3 linked regions of the Nothobranchius furzeri genome follow. The protein of the gene in region 3 purifies or fractionates together with the protein of the main gene of each other region. This does not show direct contact. Links are inferred from orthologs where the notes say so. Each region holds a gene or a part of one and is shown on either strand. Other genes may lie near its edges.

Region 1 (4,198 bases), on a different chromosome or scaffold from region 3:
CAAGCTAAATTCCACACACACACACACAGTTTGATCCTTTGGTCAGCCAAACGAAGGATCCGCCATTTTGTTTTCAAAACTCCCTCCAGTTTGGTAATCAGCCTATCTCTGCCTGCTTACATCATCAAGCAGCCTCACCATTGCCTGATCACATAACCATCTCACCCCACCGGTCTGATTAGATTGTTACGTCACATCATCATTCCATGGTTTCATTGCCTGTTGTTTGTTTGATAAAATCGGTTGGTTGATATTGATTGGCTAGCGCTTTGAAGGAGCTAAGGTGATTATATTAGTCAATAAATGTTATTGCCAATTAAGTTGTCTCAAGTTAATTTGTCTGTGTTGGATAGAATATGACCGCTGCTCGTTAAAAGAATTTTACGAACTTTAGACAGATTGATAGAGGCTTGGATTCATTTTTCCCCTATAAAAAGGGGTTGTGCCCCTAGGCATATCAACGGATATCCTAATTACGTAATAAATCAGTAAATATTTCCATATTTACGAATTTTATTGATGAATCCAAAGAGTAAGTAAAGCTTACAAATTATTTGTTGGCTAATAACCACAACACTGGCCTGTTTAGGATTAACTCTTAGCTCGACAGACAGACATCAGAACAAATCTCTTGTTTCTAGAATCTAAAGTAACACAAACAAGTACGATGCTAACTATTCACATGAGCCCACTTTTAAACATCTGAATTTTCCAAATGAATGCAAAAGGTGACTTTTGTATAATATGACCCCTTAGAAGTCAGTTTATGGCCAGAACACAGTCTGAATGTTAGAATCACCATTAGGGATGTAAGAAAATATCGATATGGCAATATATCGTGATTTTTTTTCCAGCAATGTTAAATCGATATGCAAAAGCCGTGTATTTAATTCTTGAAAGAATTTACATGCAAACATTCGTGTATTTTCTTTTCGTTTTGTGCAATTCAATCACCACCCGCTAGTTGGCAGCAGTGTGCAACGGGTTTTGTTTCCACCATTGAAATGTAAAACCCTCCATCATGGTTCAGATACCTCATGTTAAACATGTTACGTATCAGTTTGGACTGTTATTGAACATTCTTACAATAAATTCAGTGAAAAAAATTGCTTGTAACGTCTGACTGAATGTATAGCAATACAGTAATCCCTCGTTTATCGCGGTAGATGCGTTCCAGACCTGGCCGCGATAGGTGAAAATCCGCGAAGTAGGGACTCCCAGCATGCCCCTCGCGGGGATTCCCTCCACGTCGCACCTACGTCACAAACCGCGGCTATAAACGGAAGTCGCCTTTCCAGCTCACCACTCAGTCATCGTTTCTTCAGATTCATGATCAGAGTTTCCAACCTACCGATCCATCCCATGAACTATCAGCTCATAGTAAGTTATCTTGCTTACTTCTGGAAAGCCCGGCATTTCCGTGTCACTTCGTTGACGCTCGAACGCTCGGGGGTTTCCTAGATCAGCCGGCGTTTCACCGACGCTATCACTTCCGCGTCTGTGAAACCACGCTCCCTATTGAATTATCGTATGATCACATTCTTTTTTTGTGGGTAAAACTCAAGAAAAAAATTTTTTTACTTGGTTTTTTTTAGTTTTATTACAAAAAGTGCATTTTATGATGAAATTGATGGAAAAAAACAAGAATTTCTTGATATTTCGCATAGAAAAATACCGCGAATCAGTGAAAAATACGGCGAATTCCCCCTGAAAAATGCTCCAAACAAAAAATCCGCGAAGCAGCGAATCCGCGATGAATGAACCGCGAAGTAGCGAGGGATTACTGTATATCGTGATATATCGTATTGTCTCCCCTGTATCGTGATATGTATCGTATCGCCAGAATTTCAAAAAATACACATCCCTGATCAACATGTTACCACTAACATGTAAATATTCAGTGGGAAAGCAGGGTAACCATTAAACACCCTAAGGATTGCAGACAGATGTCGGCTCCAGCCTTGTGGCCATCGGCACTTTCCTGTGAGACTGCTAGCATCAGGGCCAGATCTAACACAGAACTCACACACACTGTAGTGTGAATTAATAAAACCTGGTCAGGATGACTGTCCAGGAATGTCTCAGCCTGGGCTCAAGTGATCTGCTGGTTTCACCAGAAGGTGGCCTGTCTGATCCTATTGCATAACAGCTGTGCAGATGGAGTGCCATCTTCACCATCAGCAGCAGCTCGCTGCCATTTCACTGCATCTGCAGCAGCATCTTCTCCACCCCAGACCCTTCGCACCAGGGGGGCCCACTCGCGAAGAGCCAGCCTCCAGGAGAGCCGAGGAGGAGAACCGTGCGTGGAGTCGGGCAGGCTACCCCACCCGAGGGATGGGCGCGCGCGCGCATACATCCACGATGTGGTCACACTCGGCCCTTTAAAAACTCACGTTACAATGAATGAAAACGGAAATGAGTAACGGGAACTGTCAGGAACGGCTTTACTGGCACGATTGTGTCAATCAACTTCAACAAACCACCAGACACTGCATCATCTGATGGTTTTACACTTCATGCTTTTGGTAAATCTAATGAAAAAGCTCGCCTCTGAATGAACCGGATAGCCGGTTAACTACTCACCCATTTCAGCAGGGTGTTACTCCGGAAAACAAACCGGGGTGTCTGGGTATCTCCGTGAAACGCGTCGCACCAGCCGGAGGCCCCACTCGTCTGGTCTCCGGGGGAAGTTAGCGGGTTGTGGGAGCTAGCTATCGAGCAGCTGCAGCAAGCGGCCGGTTCGGTCGGACAGTACGGTTCTGAAACAGCGGGAACCACCAGGCTAACACACCGGACTCTCTCTCATGTCCGTGCTGACAGTCAGTGGTGGTCTGGCTGGCAGTTCCCGAAAAACTGGTTCAGTCAAACATGGCAGAATCAAGCTAGGAGACCGGACGGAGATGAAAACATCCGGTCAACACTTTCAAAATAAAGCAGCCAAAATGTGCGGTTGTTGACGCGCACAACCAGTGGATGGCAGTGTTCTCTAACTTCCCTCTGGGATTAATAAAGTATCTTTGAATTGAATTGAATTGAGGAAAGATGTCCAAAAGGGTTCAAATTCCTTTACAATTAATATAAAATAAGTTTGTTTCAGGGGCGGATGCTGGTTAACCCATTTGTCATTTAAATAAATAAAATCTAGAGTTCATTGTAATGTCATATTTGTCACATAAAGAGTGGGAAAAAAAGAAATGTCACACTTTATAAAAACGATGTGAGTGTTGTTGGAAAAACATGCATAAATGTGATAGGATCATACGTCATCCAGTAATGACTTATCAAAATAAAACAAATCAGAACAGGTTTCTGTAAAGAGTGTCTGCTGAATAAATGTAAATCTACAAAATCAGGATGTTGTGTTATGGTATCGAGGCTGCTGCATCCCAGCCACTGGTGATGGAGTCAGAAGCGTTGGAGCCATGAACACAGAAAAGAACAATCCGATTAAATCCACTTATTTCATCTGGAAAACTTCCAAAGACTGGATAAGTGCGTCGGTTTCCTCCTCAGCGTGCAGGTGAACCTTCAGTCAACATTAGATAAAAGCATTCTACAGCTGAAAGAAACGATGAAGTGTTCATCAGAGCCTTCCTGCTTAAATGCTGAGTTTGTTCTTTTCAAATGTTAGATCACATTTTTCTTTCGTCCTGATGGACTTCTTTTTAACTTTAACGCTCTGACAACCCGCAGAGCATGTTTTTGCTGTTTTTATTCTCTGTACAGGTGCCTGAGCCTCCATGCAGGAAGGGGGGGCTCGGGGGGGGGCTCCCCCCCTCCCCTCCCCACCATAAGAGGACCGCTACTCCTGCAGCAGCGCGGAGCTCCTCTCCTCCATCCTTCTCCTCCTCCTCCTCTGACTCGTCAGTTCGCTGGAGGCGCTTGTGTCTCTCTTTGGGAATCGTTGTGGATTCAGCGCATTTCTTCGTTTAATTTTTGAGGAATAAACGCAACACCGCTGACGCGATGAGCAACAAGGAGCGACGAGGCGTGAATTTCAAGCGCTTGCTGAGGAAGAATTGGCTTCTGATCGCCACGGTTGTGTCGGTGCTGCTCGGTATGTAGAAAGCTTTTGCTCTGAAACCCTCGCGTCTGGATCCGAACGCATCTCCATCTCTGTCCGTCTCAGACCACCGTGTTGAGCTGCGGGCAGGTTAGAATTAATTAGCATTTTCTGCAGCAGCTGGACTTCCTGTGG
Region 2 (4,107 bases), on a different chromosome or scaffold from region 3:
TGCTGTTGACAAAACAACTGCATCATGTCTGGTTTCTCACGTGTTTACAGTGAAAACGCGTCTGCAGATCAGACCACAGCAGTAAGCTGTCGTTCAAGACAGCAGCCCATTACAAGCACACACAGGCCCCTCAGCCACGTAGAGCATTTTAAGTCTATGGAATGCAAGTCTATGCTGATAAGTGTCCAACTAGGTTTAAGATTATCAATAATCTTAACTGTGGACTCTGAGCAACCTGCAACTGCGTCATTCCTTAAAAATGACTTGATTTACTTGACAGAGAGTAATATTGTGTCAGCATGAATTAAAGTAGCAATCCAGAGTTTTCCACCTTTCAGGAATTATGTATGTTTTGTTATAAAATCCCTAAAAGTAACAGTTTTACCCTGTACTGTGATATAATGTAGTCAACTGATTTTTTTTGCTAAGCTTGATGCCCTGTCCTGTGAAGCCCCATGCAATTTGACTTGATCGCTGCTCAGTATTAGGCAATAGCATTACACATCTGCTTATGTACTGATGTCAACCACAGAGCGGGCGTGAACATTTGACCTAGACTGATGCACGGTTAGCAACAATTCTTATGGCCGAGGAAGCCATTCACATGAGAATATTAATTGTAAAACAATGTGCTTTAGCTCTGTAGGCCTGCTAGAGGTGTACATTTACAAACAGGTGCTGCTTTCAGCTGTAATTTGGGCTAGGACAATAATCAATAAACCAATTCATCGTACGATGGATGAAAATGAACTCAATCATTTTTACAGCTTCAATATATTGAGAAATGTACAACCTTATTTTTATTTATGTCATTATTGAAGTGCAGTTTTGGTTGTGACACTGGATAGGCCATTGTATTTATTGTTTTGGAGAGACAGGGTCTATTTCATTGCTTTTGGTGCAACATTTTCTAACAGAGAGTGAGAGTCCTTTTTTGTTTGTTTTGTTTATTTATTTAGAAGTTCTGGATCTGGACATTCCAATGTTGAATATAAGTTTAATTGTTGCATTTTAAAGGATGTATTTACATTATTATGATATATTAACATTATATAAGTGGTTATTTTGGTCTCGATAATGTCGACAATAATATCGTTGATCGTCAGTAATTTGTTGGACAATAAATCGTCCGGCAAGATTTGTTATCGTCCCAGGCCTAGCCGTAAACAAAGATGTATTGAGAGGGGCTTAAGGTACAATTTAAAATGTCTGCCTCTAGATGGTGCCCTCTGAGGAAAAAGACTCCAGATTTCTGCTTTAAGCTACAAAAAAGTAAAAAAATAAATAAATTGATGAAAAAGTTTAGACTTTTAATGAGAAAAATAAAGTGTCAGGTCAAACAAAAAGTAATAACTAAAGGGAAAATATGATCCCAAAAATGTCATGAATAAAACACACTTTTTTTTAACTTATGCACCAACCTCGTCTCGTCTCGTCTTCCTCCGCTTATCCGGGTCCGGGTCGCGGGGGCAGCATCCCAACTAGGGAGCTCCAGGCCATCCTCTCCCCGGCCTTGTCCACCAGCTCCTCCGGCAGGACCCCAAGGCGTTCCCGGACCAGATTGGAGATGTAACCTCTCCAACGTGTCCTGGGTCGACCCGGGGGCCTTCTGCCGGCAGGACATGCCCGAAACACCTCCCCGGGGAGGCGTCCAGGAGGCATCCTGACCAGATGCCCAAACCACCTCAACTGGCTCCTTTCGATCCGGAGGAGCAGCGGTTCTACTCCGAGTCCCTCCCGAATGTCCGAGCTCCTCACCCTATCTCTAAGGCTGAGCCCGGCCACCCTACGGAGGAAACTCATTTCAGCCGCTTGTATCCGCGATCTCGTTCTTTCGGTCATTACCCAAAGCTCATGACCATAGGTGAGGATTGGGACGTAGATCGACCGGTAAATCGAGAGCCTGGCTTTCTGGCTCAGCTCCCTCTTCCCCACGACAGACCAACCTACTCACTGATTATAATGGGAGTTCATTTCTGCACACTCCCTAAAGAAATAAATTGATTAATTTTTAAATATTTTTTTAACATTGCAGTCTTGCATAAAGTGAATATAGTTTATTTATTTATTTTTAATTTCAAATCCCCATCTGGACCATAAATGCTTACTTAAGAATTCTATATGAAATATGATGGGTCTGCAACCCTATTCTTGAAAATAACTATTTGAACAATTTATGTCGTAATTATGTCAAATAATCCTTACCCAATGACTCATCCAAAACTATTGGAAGTAGGGATCGGACCACGTTTCAGTTCGCCCTGGAGACCCTGAAGGTCTCACCACTTTCCAGCCTCATTGTCTTGTCAGAAAGCATGGATAGGTCAGCTTACCTCCCAGACAGAAAGGGACGACTAAAACAAAATACATGCAAATCCGGTTATTGACCCTGGATGTCTGTCTGAAACAGGTTTTAGTCAATGATAACCATGAACGATTGAAATTAGCAATAAAACGCGAGTAAACTAAGAAATTGTGACAATAACCGCATTAATAAACTCGCCTCAAACGTTACTGTCTGTAGCCACACCGGTACGGAGGTCACTAACAACACCCCAAGCAGACGGCCCGGTCAGGCAACTCTCGGGAGTTTTGTTACAGTACCGGTGTTAGGAGATAATGTTTCAACGAAACAGTTAAAATCTCACCTCTTCACGGTGAACATTTTTCTTGTTAACCGTGTCCGCAAGTTCATCAGGTAAGAGCACCGACAGCTCAGTTCAGTCGATTTAACAGACTGGCTGGTCCGGGTTGCGCGTGAGGTCATCAGTTTACTCCGGCTGCTAATGCGCATGCGCTCTTGTGTGTTTATCTCAGTGCTTTGTGGATATTGTAGTACTGAACAAGAATATGAGAAACGTAACTTTAAATGACTTTAAAAGCTTTGTTGGTGTGGATATTTAAATGAAGCAACATACAACTAATAACAAATTTGACAAATAAAATTAAAATACGAGTTTTCAAGGTTCCTAAAAGTGATAATAAAGCTCAAATATTTTAGTTTAAGTAAATATACAGTAAAAAATACTGATTAAATAATATTAGATTTTACAAACGTGTATTAATATTTTCCGGCTAAAAACAAATCAAATACATGTAAAAAAAATTAAAAAACCAGCAGCATTTTAAGTGATCCGTTGCACTATTCACTAAGTTTCCCTCTTGTTAATGACAAATTTGTTTAACTACTGCAGATGTAAAACATAATTTAAAACGAGAAACTCGTGCATTAATTTGTAGTCAATAACACAAATAACGATTTACTGCCATCTAGTGGCACAAAAAAGTACAAGTGACTTCAGAACAGCTTTTATCTGACAGTATTCAGAAACTTCATAGGTCATTAAAACCAATAGGTTGGTTTGCAACATTTAGAAAAAAAATCACAACTTTAAGGTATCAACTGTTTCTACAGGGGTGTAACCCACCTCTTTGCACTCGATCCAGGGGTCTGAGAAATCCTGCGATGTCGCTCAGATCCAGAAATACTTGCAAACTATACAGCAATACTGGTGATTAATCTAAAACCTATTGTGTTTAAAAAACAATATTAGCAGAAGGCATTTTGTGTTTTGGAAATAAAAATGAATTCTTTAGAGTAGATTTTATTAGCATGTCAGCAATGTAAAACTAAAAGTGGATTAATGCTAACTGATGCATCTTTTAAAGCAGTTACCAATGTAGTTTCTTAGTAAAAAGCAAAGGAGTGAAGTTATTTTAAAACTATACCAGAATCAGATCAAATGATTCTGCAGCACTACTGCTGGTCCTGAGATATATCAGTAAATCTGGTCACTTAATGCAACATTAGATGACAAAGAAGCCAGATTTAAATTAAAAATAAAAACGTTAATTTCAGATTCTTAAGTTAATTAAAAAAATGTTATCTGCTGAACAGAACAAATAAAATACAATCATCTGGTGGATAAATTTTCTAGATTTCCATTTTAAAAGAGAAAACTACTTATATATATATATATATATATATATATATATATATATATATATATATATATATATATATATATATATATATATATATATATATATATATGTATATATGTATGTATGTATGTATATATATATAACGTCTCCAATACTGAAATC
Region 3 (4,225 bases):
ATGTCATTACGCTTTAACCGTAAAGGGGCGGAATCAAAAAAATGTTGAACAATTTCAGCCAATAGCGTGTAAGTGCGTAAATCCAAAAGGCCCAAGACGTTGTGGTGCGTTCAGGTACAGTGGGACATTTTGAGCAGGCAAAGTTAAGAACATGTTACAAAATCTATTTGGACTAATTATGGATATTTTACAGCTTTTTAGCTTAGAATTTTTGACAGGAAGATATTTACTATATTCATAACTTTTTTATGAAACGTGTTAGGTTCAAGGACTGAAATAAACTGACAATTATATCAGTGACTATATAAATTGAATCTTGGATCATTTAACATTAGTAGGGCTTCTTCAAAGAAAAATAAAGGAGTAGAATGCTTTTGTTTGGCTTCTGATCAAGTCCTTCAAAAACACCCACGTCACCCTGGTTGTCTTCCAGCTTCACTGGCTGCCGGCCATGGACGTAATTGGGGGGGGGGGGGGGGGGGGGGGGACAAGGGGGACATGCCCCCCCCCCCTTTTACAAAGTCAAGTTTTGACCCCTGCACTTTTTACCATCCAAAAACAATATTACGCTACATTAAATTGACACTGGTTGAGCTCTAGGACCAAGCGGAAAACAACCGTTTGTGTTGAAGCCTGTTTCCCATTTTAGCATACTGTAAAGATACCCCCACCCCCACTTCTAAAGTGAAAATTAGGTCCATGCTGCCGGCTAAATACGGGGTTCATTTGAAGATCCTGGTTTTGGTTTTCAGGGCCTTGTGGACAAGTGCCAGCATACACTAATAATCTTCACTGCCTCAGCAAGTCTCTGAGATCCAGTGAATAAAGCCTACTGGTTGTGCAGTGCACCAGGCTAAAAATCAAAGGAGACAGATCCTTTCCTGTTTTGGCCTCCAAACTCTGGGACTCTCTGCCCCTGAACCTGAGATCAATGGACTCAGACGTGGTCTCCTATATAAAGCAGCTGTAAACTCATCTGTTAAAGCTGGCTTTTGTGTGAACTTCTATTCATCCTCTTCTTCCTCAATAACTACTTTTCATAGTGTTAATTTATGTATATTTTGGGCCTCACTTGTTGTCTTTGTTTAGTTTAAATAAAAAAAATTCTGTGATCTTTTGTTCAAATTTTATTTTGTTTTCATAGTTAGTTTTTAAAGAATAATTTATTTTTTATTGTGCTTGTGAAGCACCTTGTTTTGATCTTGAAAGGCACTATAAAATGTCTCTATCTTTTCTTCGTCTTCTTTTTGTTCTTCTTCTGCTGCGTGGTATTGCACATATTGTCACCCTAAAAATCTAAATTTCTCCAAATTTGATAAAATTTTCACACTTTAAGAAACAATAAATTAAATCATCATTATTATTTTTCTTGACTTCGTTTAAAATCAAAGGTCGATTGTCAACTTTCCGAGTCTCATTAAAAGCACCACGATGGGAGGGTCTTGACTGCTCCTCTAGTCACTCGATTAGCTCAGAGGCTTGGAGGACAAAACTCGGACAAAAACACGGAGCTCGTCGATTAAACGAGAGCAGTCTTTTGACAGAGGTAAAATCACATATTTTATTCTGTAATTTTTGCGTAACCGAAGAGTTTACTGAGTTATTAACTACCGTCTGTGGACTTATGGGAAAGTATAAAGCCGCGCTGCTTAATGAGCCGAAATACCAGTAACTCAGCGAGTTGAAACCTGTTACTCTGGTAAAAGTTTCCTGTTGATTTTCGGAGTGTTATCGACCAAAAACCCGAAAAGGGCCTTGTAATCTGTGGACACACCTGTTTGTTCTCCTCAGCAGTGTCCTAGTGTAGACATAGACCACCTCGGTATTCCTTATAGTTTCTTCTTCATTGCGTAATTTAATCATGTTGAGTTCTTTGATCAAAGAAACGGGGCCAATGTTTTCTCGTTAAAAAACCACATATAACTTTATTTTCGGTTTCTGATTTAAAACCTGCTTGAATGGTGAGCGTGTGATTGGTTGTATCGGGTTTTCCTCCCTCAACAGGAATTTCCTGGACAGTTAAATAATCGAAATATCTTCATTTTGGCCACTCAGTGGTCAAAGTCTGCCCTCGCCTGTTCCTGATAACTAATATAACATTGGTCTGACCCGAGAAAATTCCTTTCTCTGAGCCACCACACCCTTGTGCTGCTGAGTTCTTGTAGCGCAGACCCTCAATTCTCTTGCAGGCTTGGTCCCCACAGAGCAAAAGTACACCCCAGCTTTTAGTCAGAACCAGAGGAGCTGCTTCACCTGGAACACTCCCTAAACACGCAAAGGGGTGGTATTCGACAGCATATAAAAGCTTGGAAATATTAGTTCACATCATGCTTCAGACTTGTCTTTCACATGAAAACATAATACCTTTGCTCTGTACAGACACAGCAGGAAGTGGACAGGAAGCGCCACTCATTCTCCAAAAGAGACCCACCCCTTCCTAAACAGCCATTTTACCTTAGAGGTTATTTTTCCTTATCCACATAGAAAACCAGCCCTTATGCACATTAAAATGTAAAGATTTTCCATGTTGCCTTTAATAGATTACTGGAACCTGTAGTTTTGGACAACATGTAGCTAATTGGTAGTCTAGTGAACTAGACCAAATTCTTGCTTTGCAAAGTTTGGTCTAGGAATGCTCCATTGGAACCTCCACAGCCCCTAGCAGCATTTTGGCTGGCCATTCACAGCTCTGTATTGACCCTTTGCACGACGTCACGTTGGTCCACCATGCTGGACGGCAAAAGCATGTAAACAGTGAGCGACACGAGTACTAACCAAGGGGAAAAGTAGAGCCTGAAATTGTTTTTGCGATCAAAACAAAAACAAAACTCCAGCATTCCTTCAACTAGTTCATGCCCAGTTCAGTTATCAGAAGTAGCACATCTAGCGGGGGCTCATAGAGAGCGGTATGTTAACTAGCTTCCCAGCGTTAGCTTACGTTCTCTCTGCAGCTGTTCATCGATGTAAACATGTTGCTGACTTTGCCTAAATTCACCCCGCTGGATTTATAACATTATGTAATAAACAGCGTTTCACTTTACACCAAAGCTGATTTTTAAAAAGTCCGGATCCCTACCAGTTTCTGTTGTTGGTGGTGTTACCAGGTTCAGCTGCTGCTCTCACACCGGAATGAGAAGATCTCTGAACGGTGATGCTCATATAAATAAATAACCTAATTTTAACGCATGTAATCATACATCGGACCTTTAATATTGTTAATAATTATCTCACCTTACACTACAGTGGGCAGCGCACATCCTCAGTGGTGAAATACCCATCCATCAGGATTATCAATAACTAGTATAAACACATCACATTTATCCCTGTCCCTGTCTTCCTCGTGAAATAAATGAATGTTTATCTTACCTGGTAAAAACATGTTCGTTGCAAATCTGAGGGCTGCTAGTCCACTTGATTGATCGCTGCAGTTCATCTCCATCCTCGGTCTCCATCAAAGTTATTAAAAAAACAAAACGAGTTGAGTTGACATCCTTGTCTGTTAGTGCAGCCAACCACGCAGCAAGCTAAAACCATTTTACTGTCAAATCAACTAAATAAAAGCGATAAAATGCTACAAACTGGCTTGTTTTGACTAGCTTCACTGGAGTTTCAACGGGTGCAAACGATCTTTTTGCTGTCCATCATGGCGAAGGGGGCGGTCACATGAGCGGCCTGACGTCACATGCAAAGGGTCAATAGGGAGCCTAAGTCTACTTCCGCACCATAGGTCTCCGGAAGAATGAAAAAAATGAATGCAAGTCAATGGGGCTAAAAACACTATTTTCTAATCTGCTTTGCCTTACGCCCTGGATCACACATGTTGTACTGCAATTTAAATGAAAATTAATGATGGGTGTTTTGACCATGCCAGTCAAGTACTTTTATTAGCTTGTAAAAGTTCGTAATTAGCATGACTACAAACTAGAAATCGGCACGTCGCATATGTGACGTCATCACATAATCTCCTCTCCCCTAACGCAGCTGCTACTTACCAAATGACCAGATTTATGGTGGTTCTTTCCTCCTGTGGGAAGTTTGCTGAGGTTACAGCCCTTTTCCCTCAGTTTTCTCCGTGTCTGGTGTGATGATGTCACTTTCGTGAAGCGCATTTGTAGTCCTGGACTTATTTTCGCCCTGTTTGAAAATAAGCGCGTTCTTGGTATCAAAATGTGTCTTTGAAGTTCACAGACATATGTGAAATCCATGGCACAAAACTAGCAAAATT

The links.
Region 1: the proteins of rho-related GTP-binding protein RhoC (region 3) and rap1gds1 purify together in Homo sapiens (co-immunoprecipitation; 3 studies listed by BioGRID and IntAct, counting the BioPlex papers as one, with this or other methods). This does not show direct contact. The link is inferred for Nothobranchius furzeri from reciprocal best matches to the Homo sapiens genes RHOC and RAP1GDS1.
Region 2: the proteins of rho-related GTP-binding protein RhoC (region 3) and disheveled-associated activator of morphogenesis 1 purify together in Homo sapiens (affinity purification with mass spectrometry; 3 studies listed by BioGRID and IntAct, counting the BioPlex papers as one, with this or other methods). This does not show direct contact. The link is inferred for Nothobranchius furzeri from reciprocal best matches to the Homo sapiens genes RHOC and DAAM1.

Annotation. Positions count from the first base shown.
Region 1 is NC_091743.1:87,836,759-87,840,956, forward strand, and holds the start of rap1gds1 (rap1 GTPase-GDP dissociation stimulator 1), read right to left. Parts: upstream 2,805-4,198; 5' UTR 2,588-2,804; coding exon 2,584-2,587; intron 1-2,583. UniProt on the Homo sapiens protein: Acts as a GEF (guanine nucleotide exchange factor) for the Rho family of small GTP-binding proteins (G proteins) that stimulates the dissociation of GDP to enable subsequent binding of GTP.
Region 2 is NC_091742.1:4,350,774-4,354,880, forward strand, and holds the start of disheveled-associated activator of morphogenesis 1, read right to left. Parts: upstream 2,802-4,107; 5' UTR 2,649-2,801; intron 2,355-2,648; exon of another isoform or gene 2,206-2,354; intron 1-2,205. UniProt on the Homo sapiens protein: Binds to disheveled (Dvl) and Rho, and mediates Wnt-induced Dvl-Rho complex formation. May play a role as a scaffolding protein to recruit Rho-GDP and Rho-GEF, thereby enhancing Rho-GTP formation. Can direct nucleation and elongation of new actin filaments.
Region 3 is NC_091755.1:25,209,258-25,213,482, reverse strand, and holds the start of rho-related GTP-binding protein RhoC, read left to right. Parts: upstream 1-1,421; 5' UTR 1,422-1,546; intron 1,547-4,225. UniProt on the Homo sapiens protein: Regulates a signal transduction pathway linking plasma membrane receptors to the assembly of focal adhesions and actin stress fibers.